Linked DNA regions of Tamandua tetradactyla. The protein of the gene in region 2 purifies or fractionates together with the protein of the main gene of each other region. This does not show direct contact. Links are inferred from orthologs where the notes say so. Each region holds a gene or a part of one and is shown on either strand. Other genes may lie near its edges.

Region 1 (7,981 bases), on a different chromosome or scaffold from region 2:
TGTATGTGTGTGTGTGTATACTGATATGCTCTGGCCCAGAAATTCAACTCCTAGAAATTTAGGTTAAGAATATAATCATAGAAGAGTATGGGAGTTTTGGCTATAGGGATATTTATTGCTCACATTCCCTATAATAACAAATACTGGTAGCAATATTTATATCCAAAATAGTAGGGGCTGGTTTAAACATATTATGTTTCTCTATGCAAGGAATGTTACATAAGCACTAAAACCCATGTGGAGGAAGGAGACAACTTCACTGAACTTGTATGACTTATTATTTTAAAAAACATATTTTAAAAACCAACAAGCTGGGCGGGCCATGGTGGCTCAGCATGCAGAGTTCTCACCTGCCATGCCAGAGACCCGGGTTTGATTCCTGGTGCATGCCCAGGCAAAACAAAAACAAAACAGAACAAAAAAACCAAGCTTATGTGGAGGTTTGGAGCTGTATGTTCCTCAGAAACACATGTTCCTAAATTTCATCCCTTTCTTTGGTTGTGAAACCATTTTAAGTAGGACCTTTTTTGAGATTACTTCAGTTAAGATGAGACCCACCTCATTGAGGATGGGTCTTTATCCTATTACTGAAGTCCTTTTAAAATAACGAAATTCAAAGAAAGAGCCACAGGAACAAGAGGCTGGACATTGATGGAAACTGGAAGAGAAGGGAGAGATGAGGCGATCCTGCTATGTGCATTGCCATGTGACAGGGAAGCCAAGGACCACTGGTGAATGCCTCTCTGAAGGCAGAAAGCATTGCTTTGATGACACCCTGATTTGGACTTTATTTTAGCTTCAAAACCATGAGCAGATTAAGTCTTACTGTGTAACTCAACGCATTTCACAGTATTTGTTGAGCAGCTAAGGAAAATAAAACAGATTTTGGCAACAGGAGAGTGGGATGCTGCTGTTGCAAATACCAAAAATGGGAGAATGGCTTTTGAATTGGGTAAAGGGTAAAGGCAAGAAGAATTGTGAGGGCTTGATAGAAAAGTCTGGATTGCTTTGAAGACAGACTGCTCATAGATAAATGGATGCTAAAGGTCCTTCCAAAGAGGCCTTAGAAGGAAATGATGATTGTGTTACTGAAAACAGAAGGAAAGGGGATTCTTGTTTTAAGTGGCTGAGAACTTGGCAAAATCGAGTTCTGATCTCAGAATTTGAGAGTGAAGAATTTAGGTAGTTAGCTGAGGAGATTTACAAGCTAATTGTGGAGAGAGCAGTCTGCTTTCTCCTTGCAGCTTATAGTAAAATGTGAAAGGAAAAGGATAAGCTAAGAACTGAACTCCTGGGCACAAAGTAACAAGAAATGGATGGTTTGGAAAATTCTGAGCTTCTGGAAAGCAAGTTCTAGAGAATAGTGCTCCATGTATAGGTTTAACTGAACATGAAACCAATAAATTTCCCTGCAATTTAGGATTGGAGGTGAAATTATCCATGAAGGATCTGTGGAAAGTCCTATTGTCTGATGATTTGGACCCCTGTGAACTACATACAAAACTGACAGATTTTTGCATAATTTGTATGGATGAAACCACTGCCAGCCTGGACTAAAAGGGACAAAGTATGGACAGATTGAAGGAAACATCACTTTAAGGACAGACCACAGAAGCTGAGGTCTGGGTCAAAGACATCTTTTCAGGCCAAGAGAGTAGGCCCACTCATGTATGTGGAGAGGGTGAATTTGTCCCAGCACATGGAGAGGAGGGGCCTTCCACTCTGTTGTTCAAGAAGAGTGCTGCCACCCCAGTGTTTTGAGAGATTTGGTCCTGTGCCCTGGAGTTAGTGGAGAGCCTGGTTTCCATCCTGATGCTGGGAAAGGGTAGAATCTTTACGCTTGTGTTTGGGGAAAGCATGGCTGCTGGGTAAGCATTTGGAAGGGGTGAGGCTGCTGCTACACCAGTCCCAGAGGACAATCCATCATTCCATAGATGACTCTCAGAACTTGAAATCGAATGGAGTATGCCCTGCTGGGTTTTGCAATTTCTCCCTATGGGAATGGGAATGTTAATCCTATACCTCTCCCTTCTTTGTGTACTGGAAGCAGATATCTTGTTCTATAGGTTTCATAGGTTCACAGATGGAGGAGAATTGTGCCCCAGGACAGAACATACCTATAAGTGATTTTGGTAAGATTTTGCAGTAAGCATTGTTTCTGAAATGACTTAAGGTTTTTGGGATACTGTGAGTGGAATTAATGTGTTTTGCATAAGGGACATGTCTTTTTGGGTCCAGAGGGTGAAGTGTGGTGGTTTGAAGCCATAGGTATCCCAGAAAACTTTTTCTTAAATTTAATCCATTCTTATGGGTATGAACCCATTGTAAGTAGGACCTTTTGATGAAGCTACTTCAGTTAAGGTGTATCCTGGTTTGACTCTGTTACATACCCCAGGGAAGCCTATGTTCTTTTAATTCATCCCTTTGGGTACAGAGCTATTGTAGGTAGGAATTTTAGCTTAGGTTGTTCCCATGGAGATGTGATCCAGCCCATTCAAGGTGGGTCTTAATTCCCTTTCTGGAGTGCTTTATGAGAGGTAAAAAGAGACATTTTGGAGACGGCTCAGAGAAACAAATGCCCTGTGAGAAACAAGCAAGGACCTACAGGAGCTGAGAGACCCATTTGGAAACTAGAACAGGAGAGAAGGACCAGGAAACATTGCCATGTGCCTTCCTGTGTGACAGAGGAACCCTGGATGCCAGCAGCCTTTCCTCAGAGAAGGTATTGTCATGCTGATGACTTGATTTGAACATTTAACAGCCTTAGAACTGTAAACTTGTAACCTAATAAATCCCTATCTGAAAAAGCCAACCCATTTCTGGTATACTGCATTCTGGCAGATTTAGCAAACCGAAACCAGGTGTGACCCACCTCATTCAGGATGGGTCTTGATCTTATTACTGGAGTCCTTTACAACAGATTGAAAATTAGACACAGAGAGAGAAAGCCACAGAGGCAAGAAGTTGAAATCAGTGAAACCTGGAAGAGAAGGAAGAGACCAGCAGACACCGCCATGTGCCTTTCCATGTGGCAGAGGAGCCAAGGATTGCTAGTAGCCAGCTGCAGAATGCGGGTCTCTGGGAAAGAAAGCATTGCCTTGATAATGCCTTGATTGGACTTTCTTTTAGCTTCAAAACCATAAGCTAATAAATTCCCATGGTTTAAGTCAACATATTGCATGGTATTTGCTTGAGCAGCCTAGGAAGCTAGAAAAGCTTAATAAAAAAGGAAATTACCTGAACTCCCTAATTCCAGTGGCACAATGCATCCTTCCACCAGGCCATTTAGATGTTGCCTTTTCCTGAAAACCCTTCCTAATCCTGTTTTTTCTGGGATTTCGGTCTTTGGCTGTACATATCATCTCGAAACTACTGACCATTAATTATTTTCTGAATTCAAGGCAACAGTCAGTAGTGAGCTTCCATTATACCAAAGAAGACCAGGATGCTCAGAAAAGTAGAATGGCTTCTCTGAAAGGGAAAGTCTGGCAGAAAAAATATTAATCACTTTACAAACATAACTCATTTAATCCTCATAGAAAGAAAGGAACTTAAACCCATTTTTCAAGTGAGAAAACTGTGGTTTTGGGCAGGTTCTATCTTGTCTAAGGTCATAGAGCTGTAAGTCATTTTCTGGCTCCAGTGCCAAGGATTTCAGTCACTACTTTGATTTTCCCTATTATTAGGAGTAAAAATAATAACAAAATAATAATTATTAATACTTATTACTTTAAAAATTAAAAATAATTTAATTTAATGGGCCCGGGGAGCACTCAGAGTCAAAACACACACACACACACACACACACACACACACACACACACAGAGAAAACAACAACGAAAAAACCCATGCCCTACTTCTTCTTTGAATTCTCTCTTGAGTTTCCTCTTTCTCTTTTGAAATTTGAAATCCCCACCAAGGCAATTGACCTAGTAACCGATCAAGCTCCTAATTCATTAGGTTTGACCCAATACAAAATAAAGCCCACCTGCCCTAAACCCGCCCCCTATAAGACAGACAAACCCTTGTCCAATCAATAAGAGTCAAACTAACTTCCTTTTTATGTCTAGAAAAATCATTTGCCATCCCTAGAACCCGGAAGCTGCTTCTGGTCTTGCAAGTGATCTGGCTTTCTTTGCTGCAGCAAAACTTTGGTGGCCCGAATAAAATGCTGCAGTCTGCAAACTCGACTCTGATTTGTCGTTCAACAATATAACGCAAAAATGCTATCAACAATAGTTTTTATTTGCCCAGAGATTTTTACTAATGTTTTCACTTAAAAGATCTGTTATCTCATTTTTCAGAGGCTTGAGGCACAAAAATTACATACTGCCTGTGGGTGGTACTATGAAATCCCTCCTCCCCGCACCGCTGGAATTCTAGTCTCATTGTTATATTATGTTATAGTATTATTACTATTGCTAACCGATACAATGTAAAGAAGAATAAAAATGTCTTATATTCCTTAGGGCTTCACAATGCAATTTTACACACATTTTACAAAGGATAACAGAGGCTCAGAGAGGCAACTTATCCAAGACCACACAGAAAGTAACCAGGAAGGATAGGGTTGTTTCATAATAATAACAATGCCTTACATTCCAGGACTCAACAAAAGGCTTTTCTTAAGGAAATTAAACCCTAATCGCAGAGAGACCTGGCATTGGCCCGGGTTTGTAGCTGGTTCGTGGCCCCGAGGCAGTGCGGACTCGGCGTCAGGGCAGGCTGGGGCAGTGGGAAGACCCTGGCCCCGAATTCCCCCAACCCTGCTCTACCCAGGGACCCCCGACCCTTCCCGGCCCCCGGAACCTCCCGGTTGGTCCCACCTCCACTCTAGGCCCTGACCCGCCCCGGGCCTTGCCCGCCTGGGCCCGACCCTCGCTTGGCTCCCGAACCCCTATCCCCACCCCCGCCTGGAGCGCGGCCGGCCGCCCGGCGGACGGGCTGGCGGACTGAGGCCCCTCCCCGGCGCGGAGTCGCCGCGCGGAGGAAGCGGAGGAGGTGCCGCGCCGAGACCTCGCCGCGCTCATGGCGTCTCCCGGGTGAGTGTGGCGATCCGAGGGTCGGGCCGCGCTGTCCGCTGCGGGAACCCGAGACAGACGGGCCGGGGGACCGCGAGTCTCGGACCCGGCCTCAGACCCCGACCCGAGGGGCGTCCGCGCTGGCCCTACCGCGCCACGGCCCGGCGACCCTTCCGGCCGGGATCCGTCCCCGCCGACCTTGGGCGGGCGCGGCGGGCGCTGCGGAGTGGGAGCCGTCGGGCGGCCCCTGGTGTGGGAGCGGCCCCGGCGCCGCCGCGGGCGGGGAGGGCCGGGGCCGGGGTCCGAACGCAGCCAGCGCGGCAGGGGCGCGAGGGAGACCTGCGCGCCAGGCCGGGGGTGGAGGGCGAGGTGTGGGGCCTGGGCCGCGGGTGGCGGGGTGCGGGGCCCGGTTGGCAGGGTCCCGAGCCTGGGGTGGGGTCCGCGGGGCCTCGGCTGGCGGGGTGCGGGCCTTGGGGCCTGGCGCGGGGCCTTGGGGCGGGCGGGGAGATGTGTCATCGCATCGCCTGGGGAGCTGTGCGGAGGCCTGGAAACGGCTTCACGGCGGGTGCCGAAAACGCAGGGCCCCTAGTTCCTGGCCTCTATCTTAATTTTTCAACTTTACACCCGTTGGGAGTTGGTGTCCGGTTTTCACAGTCGTTAGGACGTATCCTGAATGTCACCGAGTCCGGCAAGAGCCGCTTCCAGGATCTCCTGGGGTCTGCGCTGTTACCCACGGCCCTTCCTCAGGGAGGCTGTGCTTTTCTGACATCGCCTTCATTTTACTTTTTTACTTGATAAAGTGTTCTTTCTTTTACGAAATGATATTGACACACATCATTTGTTATTTAAAGGAAAAAAATCCTCACTTGGCAAAATAAAATTTCTAGCCATCCGTTATCCTTTTTTTTGTTTTGATAATTTAATAGGTCATGAGATCTGTGATTGACAGGTTTTCATCCTACACCATCATTTTAGGAAAGTTAGACCCCAAGGTCATTAGTTTGATTGGTAAAATTCTTCATTTGACTGTTGTTCATCATTCAGAGAGTCTTAGACCTGGTGACTGGGATAGCAATGAAAGTTGTATGTCTTTATAGCCCACAAGGGCTTTTCTGGGTATTACTAGCAGGCTTGTGGATCACTGCAGGATTATGGCTTTTTCCCAGTTAAGAGCAGAGCTGTGGAATGAATTGGCTCCAGGAAATGAGTTTTAAAAAGTATGTGGGGATTTGAACCCGGACCTCCAGGCTCCAGTCATGTCTTGGCATCTCCTTGCTGCGTTTCTGGAATTGGGGAGTGGTCATCACTCCTGGTACTGGGTCTTTTCATTGCCAACTGAGTACCCAGTACTTTGAGCTTATAAACAGAATAAACGACAGCCCATCCCTAGAAAGTCGGCCAGTTCAACAGGGGTTCAAGGTCCCACTGCATTCCTGCCCTACTTGTCAGGGAAGGGTGAGGTAGGGTGGACCTTGGGACAGCAGTGACCATGGCATCTGAGCCTGTGTAGGGCTGACATGATTCTTTCCTTAAAAATTGTGATGCATTTTGGCTGGTGAGGTCAGGAAAGGCAGTTGGCACCCAGTCACACTGCTTGGAGGTGGGTTAGAGGTGAACTTCATGCTAGGTGGTCCCCTTTTGTGAGCCAAATAGGGCCCAAGTTATTCCCTGCAGAAAACAGTGTTCAATTTAATATTTTAGATCTTTGAGCTACCTCATGAGTCCGCATTCTGAGGTAATCTGTTATCTTCTGAGGGGGAATCCATTGTGAAGCTGGGGTCAAAACTTTATTTCATTTTATGGGGAAAAGTATGCATTTATTTGGTATATACACATTTGGGACTCGGGCAGACATAACCACTGGACAGGCTTCCCTGGGAGATCAGAGTCCATCAGGGAGTCAGCATTTCCTGAGGTCCTCTGGCCTGTCTCACTGAGTCAATCAGCAAACATGAAGCCTATTTGACTAAGTGTGATGGGGAACAAGTCAGAGATACAGGGCAGAGGTGGAAGGAAATGATTTCTGACTGGACTGTTCATCAAGAAGGAGTCTCCCAAACCGGTGCTCTTTCCTATATGACCATCTCCATGAGATGGTAGGGAAAGAAAGAAGAAATCCTGACATTTTCTGAGGTCTTAACTAATTTGCTAGGCATTATGCTAAAAGCCATCAAAAGAAAAGACAAGTGTTTGAGAGAGGACCCACAACCATTTGGAGCTAAGTGGAGACAAGGCCAGGGCAGGAGAATGGTGCAGGTCTGTGGGACCTGGCCTTCAGGCTGCATTAGGACCTCTTTTGTGGATAGTGAGGTCTCACTGAGGCTGGTTTTAAGTGGGGAAATGGCATTATCACATAGGAACCTTTAGGAAAATCCACCTGACAGCCGTGTGGAGGAGGCAGTGAAATTAAGAGAGATGGAGGACAAGTGCCATCAGCTCATCAACCTGTTACCATCTGGTTTCTATCCCTGCCCTCTTCTGAAATTGCAGAAAGAGCAATTTCAGAAGAATGTGACAGTTTTTTACCAGCTCCCACTTCTTATAGCTTTCTTTCTTATCTTTAACCCTTGCCTAGTTTTCTTGCAAATGCTCAGTCTGCGACTTAATTGCCTGACCAGCTCCTCTGTGCACTGCTCCAACTTTCCTTGGGCTCTGTGGTCATTGTTTGCTGCATTCTCTCTGCATGACAGCATCCACTCTGTGGCATTAATGTCATTTAAAATATCAGGTGTTCTTATCTTAGGGTCTACAATTTAACGGTTGAGCTTCTGGGGTCCTTCCTTGTGTTTGTGGTTCATATATTTTCTTAGGATGAAAGTCTGTAACCTTCATCAGATTCTTTTTTTTTTTTTTTTAGCACTTTTATTCGTATACCATATAATCCATCCAAGGTATACAATGAGTGGCTCTAAGTATTTTCACAGAGTTGTGCATTCATCACCACAGTACATTGCTCCAA
Region 2 (7,755 bases):
AGCTCCCCAGGAGGCATTTTCCTTCTTCATCTCCAAGGGTCACTGGCTGGTAGACTCTGCCTCTCCTGGCTATGTCATTCTGCTCTCTCTGAATCTCCTTCATTCTCCAAAATGTGTCCTCTTTTATAGGACTCCAGAAACTTATCAAGACCCATCCAAATGCGTGGAGACCCGTCTCCCCTAACCCAGTTTAACAATCACCCTTGATTAAATCACATCTCCAGGGAGATGATCTAATTACAACTTCAAACCTACAATACTGAATAGAGATTAGAAGAAATGGCTGCCTTTACAAAATGGGATTAGGATTAAAACATAGCTTTTCTAGGGTACACATATCCTTTCAAACCAGCACACATCCTTGAGGTTCTCAGAGTGTACCTGATGACATTATGTGCTAAGTACTACAACAGAGGTGAATACAAGACTTTTGTAGTTTATTCAGGATAAGGTTTGTGACTTACTCACTGGGCCTTATACTGTGCTGGCATATAGCAATTCTCAGTGGTTCATGATTCTTAAGAGTTGGGCATCATGGTGAAATGTCGGGATTTAAGCACTTTCTAGTTTCTTGGGATAAATATTTGAGTTTGGTCTCTTGCCTTCATCTGGATCTTCTGTTTGCTTCAGAGCTTCACTAACTTCTTTTAGTTATGCTTCCATTTTGTGATCGCATTTCCAATTTTTTTTCATATTTGAATTTAAAATAATAACAAAACTTTTAAAAAGCACGATAGAGAGAGAGCAGAATGATGTAGCCACGAGATGCAGAGAGTCCACGAGCCAGCAACCTTTGGAGATGAAGAAGGAAAATGCCTCCCAGGGAGCTTCATGAAACAGGAAGCCAGGAGAGTAAGCTAGCAGATGATGCCGTTTTCGCCATGTGCTCTTCCAGCCGAGAGAGAAACTGTGACTGTGTTTGCCATGTGCCTTCTCACTTGACAGAGAAAGCCAAGATTGGACATTGAGTTAACCAGGAAAGATTTTTGGAAACTTCTTATGTCTGATGGGCATGATCCAACACTACTGCATAGAAAGCAGACGAGAGTGCTCTGGGACCTGTAAAAACAAAGCCACTGCCAGTCTGGACTGAGGGGCTCAGAGAAAGGACACATTGGAGGAAAAGTACCTTCAGAGGCAAAACCATGGAGGCTGAGATCTGAAGTCAAGAAGCCTCAGGCAAGGAGAGCAGATGTACCCAAGCACATGGAGAGGGTGAGTTTGCCCCAAAGGCAGAGAATGGGCCTTCCACCTCATTGCAGTGGAAGTCATGCCGCCTGAGGCCTTGGAGAAGGTGAAGCACATTCCTTGGGGTTTGGGGAGAGCCTGGCTGCCACCATATGGAGGGGCTGAGCGTGTGCCCCGGAGATGGCAGAGAGCCCGGGTGCAGCCCCAATGCTTGGAGAGGGTGGAGCCTAGAGAAGGGTGGTCTCCCCAATATCCCCCAAGGTTGCATTCAGAGAGAGGCAGGCGTAAGCATTTGGAAAGGATGGGACTGCCACTTTCTAAAGCCCTGAGGATAAATGACTCTCAGACTTTGAAATCTAATGGACTTTGCCCTGCTGGTTTTCGAAACTATATGGGTCCTTTGACCCCTGTGTTCCTTCCTCCCTATGGAAATGTGTATATGTATCCTATGAATGTTCCCCCTTTGTATGTTGGCAGCAAATAATTTATGAGTTTTCAATGGTCTAGAGCAAATGGAGAGAATTTTGCCTTAGGACAGACCATGCCTGTAACTGACTTGATGAGATTTTATACTGTCTCTAATTTTGTACTTCATTGTATTGCTACTGAAAGGTTTAAGGTTTCTGATATTGTTATGAAATTAATGTATTTTGCATATAGAAAAAACATGTCTTTTTTAGGGGCCAGAGGGTGGAATGTGCTGGTTTGAAAGGAAGTATGCCCCCTAAGAAAAGCCATGTTTTAATATAAATCCCACTTCATAAAGGTAGACTAATCCCTATTCAATACTGTATATTTGAAACTGTAATGAGATCATCTCCCTGGTTGATGTGATTTAGTCAAGAATGGTTGTTAAACTGGATTAGGGGATGACATGTCTCCACCCATTTGAGTGGGTCTTGATTGGTTTACCGGTGTCCTATAAAAGAGGAAACATTTTGGAGAGGACGATTCAGAGAGAGCAGAATGATGTAGGCATGAGATGCAGAGAGTCCACGAGCCAGCAACCTTTGGAGATGAAGAAGGAAAATGCCTCCCAGGGAGCTTCATGAAACAGGAAGCCAGGAGAGTAAGCTAGCAGATGATGCCGTGTTTGCCATGTACCCTTCCAGCCGAGAGAGAAACTGTGACTGTGTTCGCCATGTGCCTTCTCACTTGAGAGAGAAACCCTGAACTTCATCAGCCTTCTTGAACTAAGGTATCTTTCCCTAGATGCCTTTGATTGGACATTTCTTTAGACTTGTTTTAATTGGGATATTTTCTCAGCCTTAGAACTGTAAACCAGCAACTCATTAAATTCCCCTTGTTAAAAGCCAAAAAAAAAAAAAAAAAGCATGATAGAAAAAGCAAAATAAAAGTCATACAATTTTTTTTTTCTGATGAGATTTCTTTAAAGCATAGTACAGTCATTAATTTGGAGGATAGGAAGTGAGGTCTGTGGGTAGAGATGGTGAGGGAATAAAGCAAAATACATCTTAAAAATTTAGTAAAAGTGTAGTTCTTTTACTAACTTTTTCATTTCCTGTTAATAGTATCATCATTCTCCTGGCCTCCAAATCTCAGGTGAGGGATCAAAAAAATTGAAGTTAATCATCTAAATTCTTATATATCCTTTGAAATATTTTTTCCATTTACTTCTCCATTCTTATTGCCAATAACTAGCCTCCACTCACCTACGCCCACCAACTAATCTTCCAGCTAATCTACTTCTCTACAAAGCTCTTTCCAACCATTCTGAATACTCTTGCCATATAAATCTTACCTAAAACTCTAATTTTTCAAATCAGCATCCTACCCCAGAACTAGTTAGTTAGTTACCTTATGCCAAATTTCTGCATCTCACTTTCGAGGTCCTCCCTTCTTTGTTCCCAATCTTCCTCCCCCCATCCCGCGCCCACTACCCCAACTCCATGGCTTAATGGTGGTTCTTTGCTGGGGACTCAGGTGGTCTTTCCTCTCCTTGGAACCTATCAGGTTTTGCTGGTATCCTTCTCCCTCTCTTTCAGTGTCCACATTGTACCCTTCAGAAGTCTTCTTGAATATTTTCCTGGCAGCTCCATGTCACAAATAAGTATTATTGTGTGTCATATTTGCGAAAAGAGAGTGGAATCCTCTACTCTTTTCTCTCGATTGGATTTGTTAATAAGAAACCTACCATTACTTTCCACAGTGGGACACGGGCCTACAGCTATCTGAAACGCAAATCTGTAATTTCCAAAGTACCAGTTCTACAAGCATCTGTAGAGGCTCCTGGGATTGCCAAAAGGAACAGGTATCAAATACTATTATGAAATATCCTTTTTTTGTTGTTGTTAAAAGATGATAAAGTATTTGCTTTTTTTTCTTTTTCCTTTTTTATATATTTTTTCATTTTTCATTTTTATTATTTTTATTTTTTTCTCTATATTATCATTCTATATCTTTTTCTGTTGTTTTGCTAGTTCTTTTCCTAAATCAATGCAAATGTAGTAAGAAATGATGATCATACATCTATGTGATATTAAGAATTACTGACTGCATATGTAGAATGGAATGATTTCTAAATGTTGTGTTAGTTAATTTTTTTAATTAATTAAAAAAAAACTGATAAGTCAAATTTTCCTGGTAAAATTTTTGTAACCAAAAACTGATTCTAATGAAAATAATTTCATTAAAATCAAAAAATGGAAAAAAAAAAGATGATAAAGTATGGTAGGACTCTGTGGCATGGGGTTTATTGTCTCACGAACCAAATATGTTCAAATACGTTCTATAATCAGGACTATGAAATGAGAAGTTTGAAGAGAAATAACGCCGGACATACTCGAGTGACCACATGCCACAGGAGAAGTAAAAAGACCACTCTCAGTGCTGCTGCTTAATAGGGACGCTGGATGTGAATTCACGCTTTCCTGAAGTCTCAGTTCGCTCATCCCTACAATGGAGAGAATACTTGATAACAGATCCTTCTCGGGCTAGTGAAAGGTTTCATTTTTGGCGAACAGCGCTCGGTTTGCCCCCTAAAGCCTAACCTTTTCCTCCCACTAGGGCCGGAGAGCTGAGCTCTATCTTTTAGCCCAGAATGAGCATTTCCGTGCGAAAGGCGGGGTGGCTGGAGGGGACGGGGAAGCTCAGGGTTGCCGGGGCGGAAGACTCCATGGGCACAGGTTGGGTTGCAGCTTTGACGCGCAGCGCGGGGGGCCTTGGGCAGGAGGGCGCCGAGTATGCAGACGCGGCGCAAAGCCAGCTGAGCGCGCGGGCACGAGGGTGCGCTCGGTGCCGGGAGAGGGCTCGGCTTGACAACGTAGTGAAAAGGGCACCAGGGCGAAGATAGAAAAGCGGTAACAGGCACCTCGAGGGAGGCCGAGGCCCCGTGGGCGACAGCGCCGAGACAGGGGCAGCGACGCGCTGGGCTGCCCGGGGCCCCTGATTAGCTCCCCCGCGCCGCCGCGGGCCGCCCTAAGTCCCCGCAGCGCCCCAGCTGGCCGCTCGCGGGGTCGGCGCCGCGAGAGCCCAGTCGCTCCGCCCCCGCGCGGCTCGGCGGCCCGCCGCAGCTTCCCCGCCCGGCTCTCGCTCGACCCTCCTCCCTTCCCCCTCCCGTATCACGATGGACGCGGCCTCTCCGCGCCGCCGCCGGCAGCGTCGCGCGGGCCTCTGAGCTGTAGGGCCTGAGGAGCCGCGTGTCCGGGAAGGTGCCTGCGCTGGCTGCCGCCGCTCGGAGGGACCTCTCGCTTCCCTGTCACCAGGTCCCCGCGGAGGAAGGGGAGGGACGAGGCGCGGCTTTTCCTGTGCCGCCTGTCTGGGTCGACCTGCGCGGCCTGCGGCTTCCTGGGAACTCGAGGGCCGCGGCCGGGCCTGGCTCTGCCCGCGGCCTGCTTGGAGCCGGACCGGAACGGTCTGGGACGAGAAGTCTGGGTAAGAGCCCACGGAAAAGGGAGGCGGGAGCTCCTCCGGCCGTCCGAATGGCCGGGACGGGGGTCGAGATCCGGGGCGCTGGCCATAGATTGGGAGCGACCCCAGGGTTGGGTGAGGCCGGCGGGTCTGCTGCCGACTCCCCTGCTTGGCCTCTTTGTTCCCCTCCCCCCACCCTGTCCGCGGTGGGGCCCGGCTTACCCGGTCCGAGCTGGAGCCCAAGGAGGTCCCCCCCTTGCCCTTGAGAAGCTTTCGCCTCCCGGCCGCGGCGAGGAACGTCCCGCCGGGCCTCGGAGTTCCGGACGCCGCTCCAGGCAGGCCCGCCGCCCAGCCCGGCACGGCGGCCTCCTCTCAAGACCGAGGCTTGCGCCTTCTCCTCCAGAACTATCCAACCCCCACCCTCACCCCGACGGGTGGCTAACTTGCAAGGGTCTAGTCCGGGAAAGCTGAGCACGTACGGTAGCAGTGCCCCTCGGTGCAGAGCTCGGCCTGGCCCGGCGTGTGGGGTTGGCCCGCTGGTCGCCGCCGTTGGGTGCCCATCGGGACCTGCCGGTGGATTCACACACCTGCAGCTGGGGCTACGTGGGACCTAAGGCTGTTCTCCGGTCAGGGCGCTTACGAAGAGCTTCTCTAATGACTTGCTTGTTTGAGCTGTTTCTGTTTTCGTTGTTGTTGTTTTGTTTTGTTTTTACCAACTGTCCCATCCTGTGGGAATAGGAAAAAGAGAGCCCTGGGTTGGCCTGTATTCTGATCCCTAATGTGTAAACCCATTGCGTTTACTTTTAGCATTTCTTTTTAAAGTTTTAAGAACAGTTGTCAAGACTGCCAAAATTCCTAACCAAGTCTTTATTCATAGATAGATCTTGTATCTAATTATAGTTTCTATTTGGACATCTTTAGAATAGGGGCGAGTAAATTAAGAAGTCAGCTGATTTTGTAAAATTGGAGTTAATTTTCAAGGAGAAACTCACCTTGAAGAGGAGAATTGGGTCAAAGTGTTCAGAATCTCCTCAAAGTACTGTATCTAACCTTTATGTAAAGATCCGTTTTGGAAGGCGGAGGGGGAAGAAGTTTTCTGGAAAAGGAAAGAACCTTTAGTAGGTGTTCTTTGCCTTTTTGGCATAGACGCCAGCGATAACACTAGTGGGATCCGAAGCCTGTTTGACTGTCTTTGACCAAGGCAGCTCTGGTTTCTAGTTAAGCAGCAACCTAATCAGCTTATAACCTTTTGCAAAACTGGTTTTTATTTAGTATAGTGTGCTATCTGAACTTGAAACCTGAAGAATAAGGAAAGTTGAAACACTGCATAGCATTCTATCCAAACATAAATACTTACTAGTCTTTTCTAATTCCTAGGAGGACCCCACGAAAATTTGGTTCTAGCCGATGTAAAAGAGAATTTTTAAACCTGAGCAGATCAGTCCTGGACATTTAAAGGACTTTGCCTCTTTACTTTTTTTTTTTTTTTGATTTAAGCAAAGAGGCTTTTAAAAAACCATGGCAGATGTGGATCCGGATACATTGCTGGAATGGCTACAGATGGGACAGGGAGATGAAAGGGACATGCAACTAATAGCCCTTGAACAGCTATGCATGCTGCTTTTGATGTCTGACAACGTGGATCGTTGTTTTGAAACGTAAGTACATCCCTTCATCATCTTCCTTTGGGGTTATTGTATTGATGTGTTTTCAACCATTTGCTGACTTAAGTTTGTGTAGAAATTTCTCTAGTGAATTTTAAAAATGTTTTTTTAAAAGTTCCTGCAGGATTTTGCATTTACACTTTTCAGAGAAATAGAATTGGTAGGTGAAGTAACTCTAGTGAAGATAATTATGATGACACATGTCCATGTTTACTTGCTGAATGAATGGGAATTAGTAGAGGAACCTAATTTTAACCCATAGCTTGGTTGATTCATTTTCAAAATATGTTGTTAACTGGGGAAAATACAGATACTTTTGTTAAGAAAGCTATTTCTGCACCATGAAATTGACTTATAGAATAACATAGATAATAACCAACATATATTTAGAACTGCCCATTCCTTCTTAGTATTGAGGCATTTGACGTTTTACTTTTGTTAAGCAAACCATTGGTTTGTAGTTTTCACTTTAGAAGAAATAAACTGAATGTTTCCCATATAGCATACCTTTTGAAATAGCACAGACAGATTTTGGAGTTTGGAGAATCTAAATTTTATCCAGAGGTCATAATGTAAAATTTGTGCAAAAATGTAAGAGAATTCATTACTAGATAGGTTCTTTTTTTTTATTAGTAATTTAAAAAAAAATTGACAACAAACCAACAAAAGTATTCTTAATGTATGATCATTCCATTCTACATATATAATCAGTAATTCACAATATCATCACATGGTTATATTCATCATGATGATCATTTCTTAGAACATTTGCATCAATTCAGAAAAAGAAATAAAAAGACAACAGAAAGAGAAATAAAACAAAAACAAACAAAGAAAAGATTATACATACCATACCCCTTACCCCTCCCTTTCATTGATCACTAGCATTTCAAACTAAATTTATTTTAACATTTGTTCCCCCTATTATTTATTTTTATTCCATATGTTCTACTCATCTGTTGACAAGGTAGATAAAAGGAGCATCAGACACAAGGTTTTCACAATCACACAGTCACATTATGAAAGCTATATC

Evidence for each region. The genes of interacting proteins can lie anywhere in the genome.
Region 1: the proteins of HECTD1 (region 2) and URGCP purify together in Homo sapiens (affinity purification with mass spectrometry; 4 studies listed by BioGRID and IntAct, with this or other methods). This does not show direct contact. The link is inferred for Tamandua tetradactyla from reciprocal best matches to the Homo sapiens genes HECTD1 and URGCP.

What each region holds. Positions count from the first base shown.
Region 1 is NC_135327.1:64,852,941-64,860,921, reverse strand, and holds the start of URGCP (up-regulator of cell proliferation), read left to right. Parts: upstream 1-4,972; 5' UTR 4,973-5,029; coding exon 5,030-5,043; intron 5,044-7,981. UniProt on the Homo sapiens protein: May be involved in cell cycle progression through the regulation of cyclin D1 expression. May participate in the development of hepatocellular carcinoma (HCC) by promoting hepatocellular growth and survival.
Region 2 is NC_135340.1:23,139,817-23,147,571, forward strand, and holds the start of HECTD1 (E3 ubiquitin-protein ligase HECTD1), read left to right. Parts: upstream 1-4,753; 5' UTR 4,754-5,082; intron 5,083-6,435; exon of another isoform or gene 6,436-6,555; 5' UTR 6,556-6,576; coding exon 6,577-6,716; intron 6,717-7,755. UniProt on the Homo sapiens protein: E3 ubiquitin-protein ligase which accepts ubiquitin from an E2 ubiquitin-conjugating enzyme in the form of a thioester and then directly transfers the ubiquitin to targeted substrates.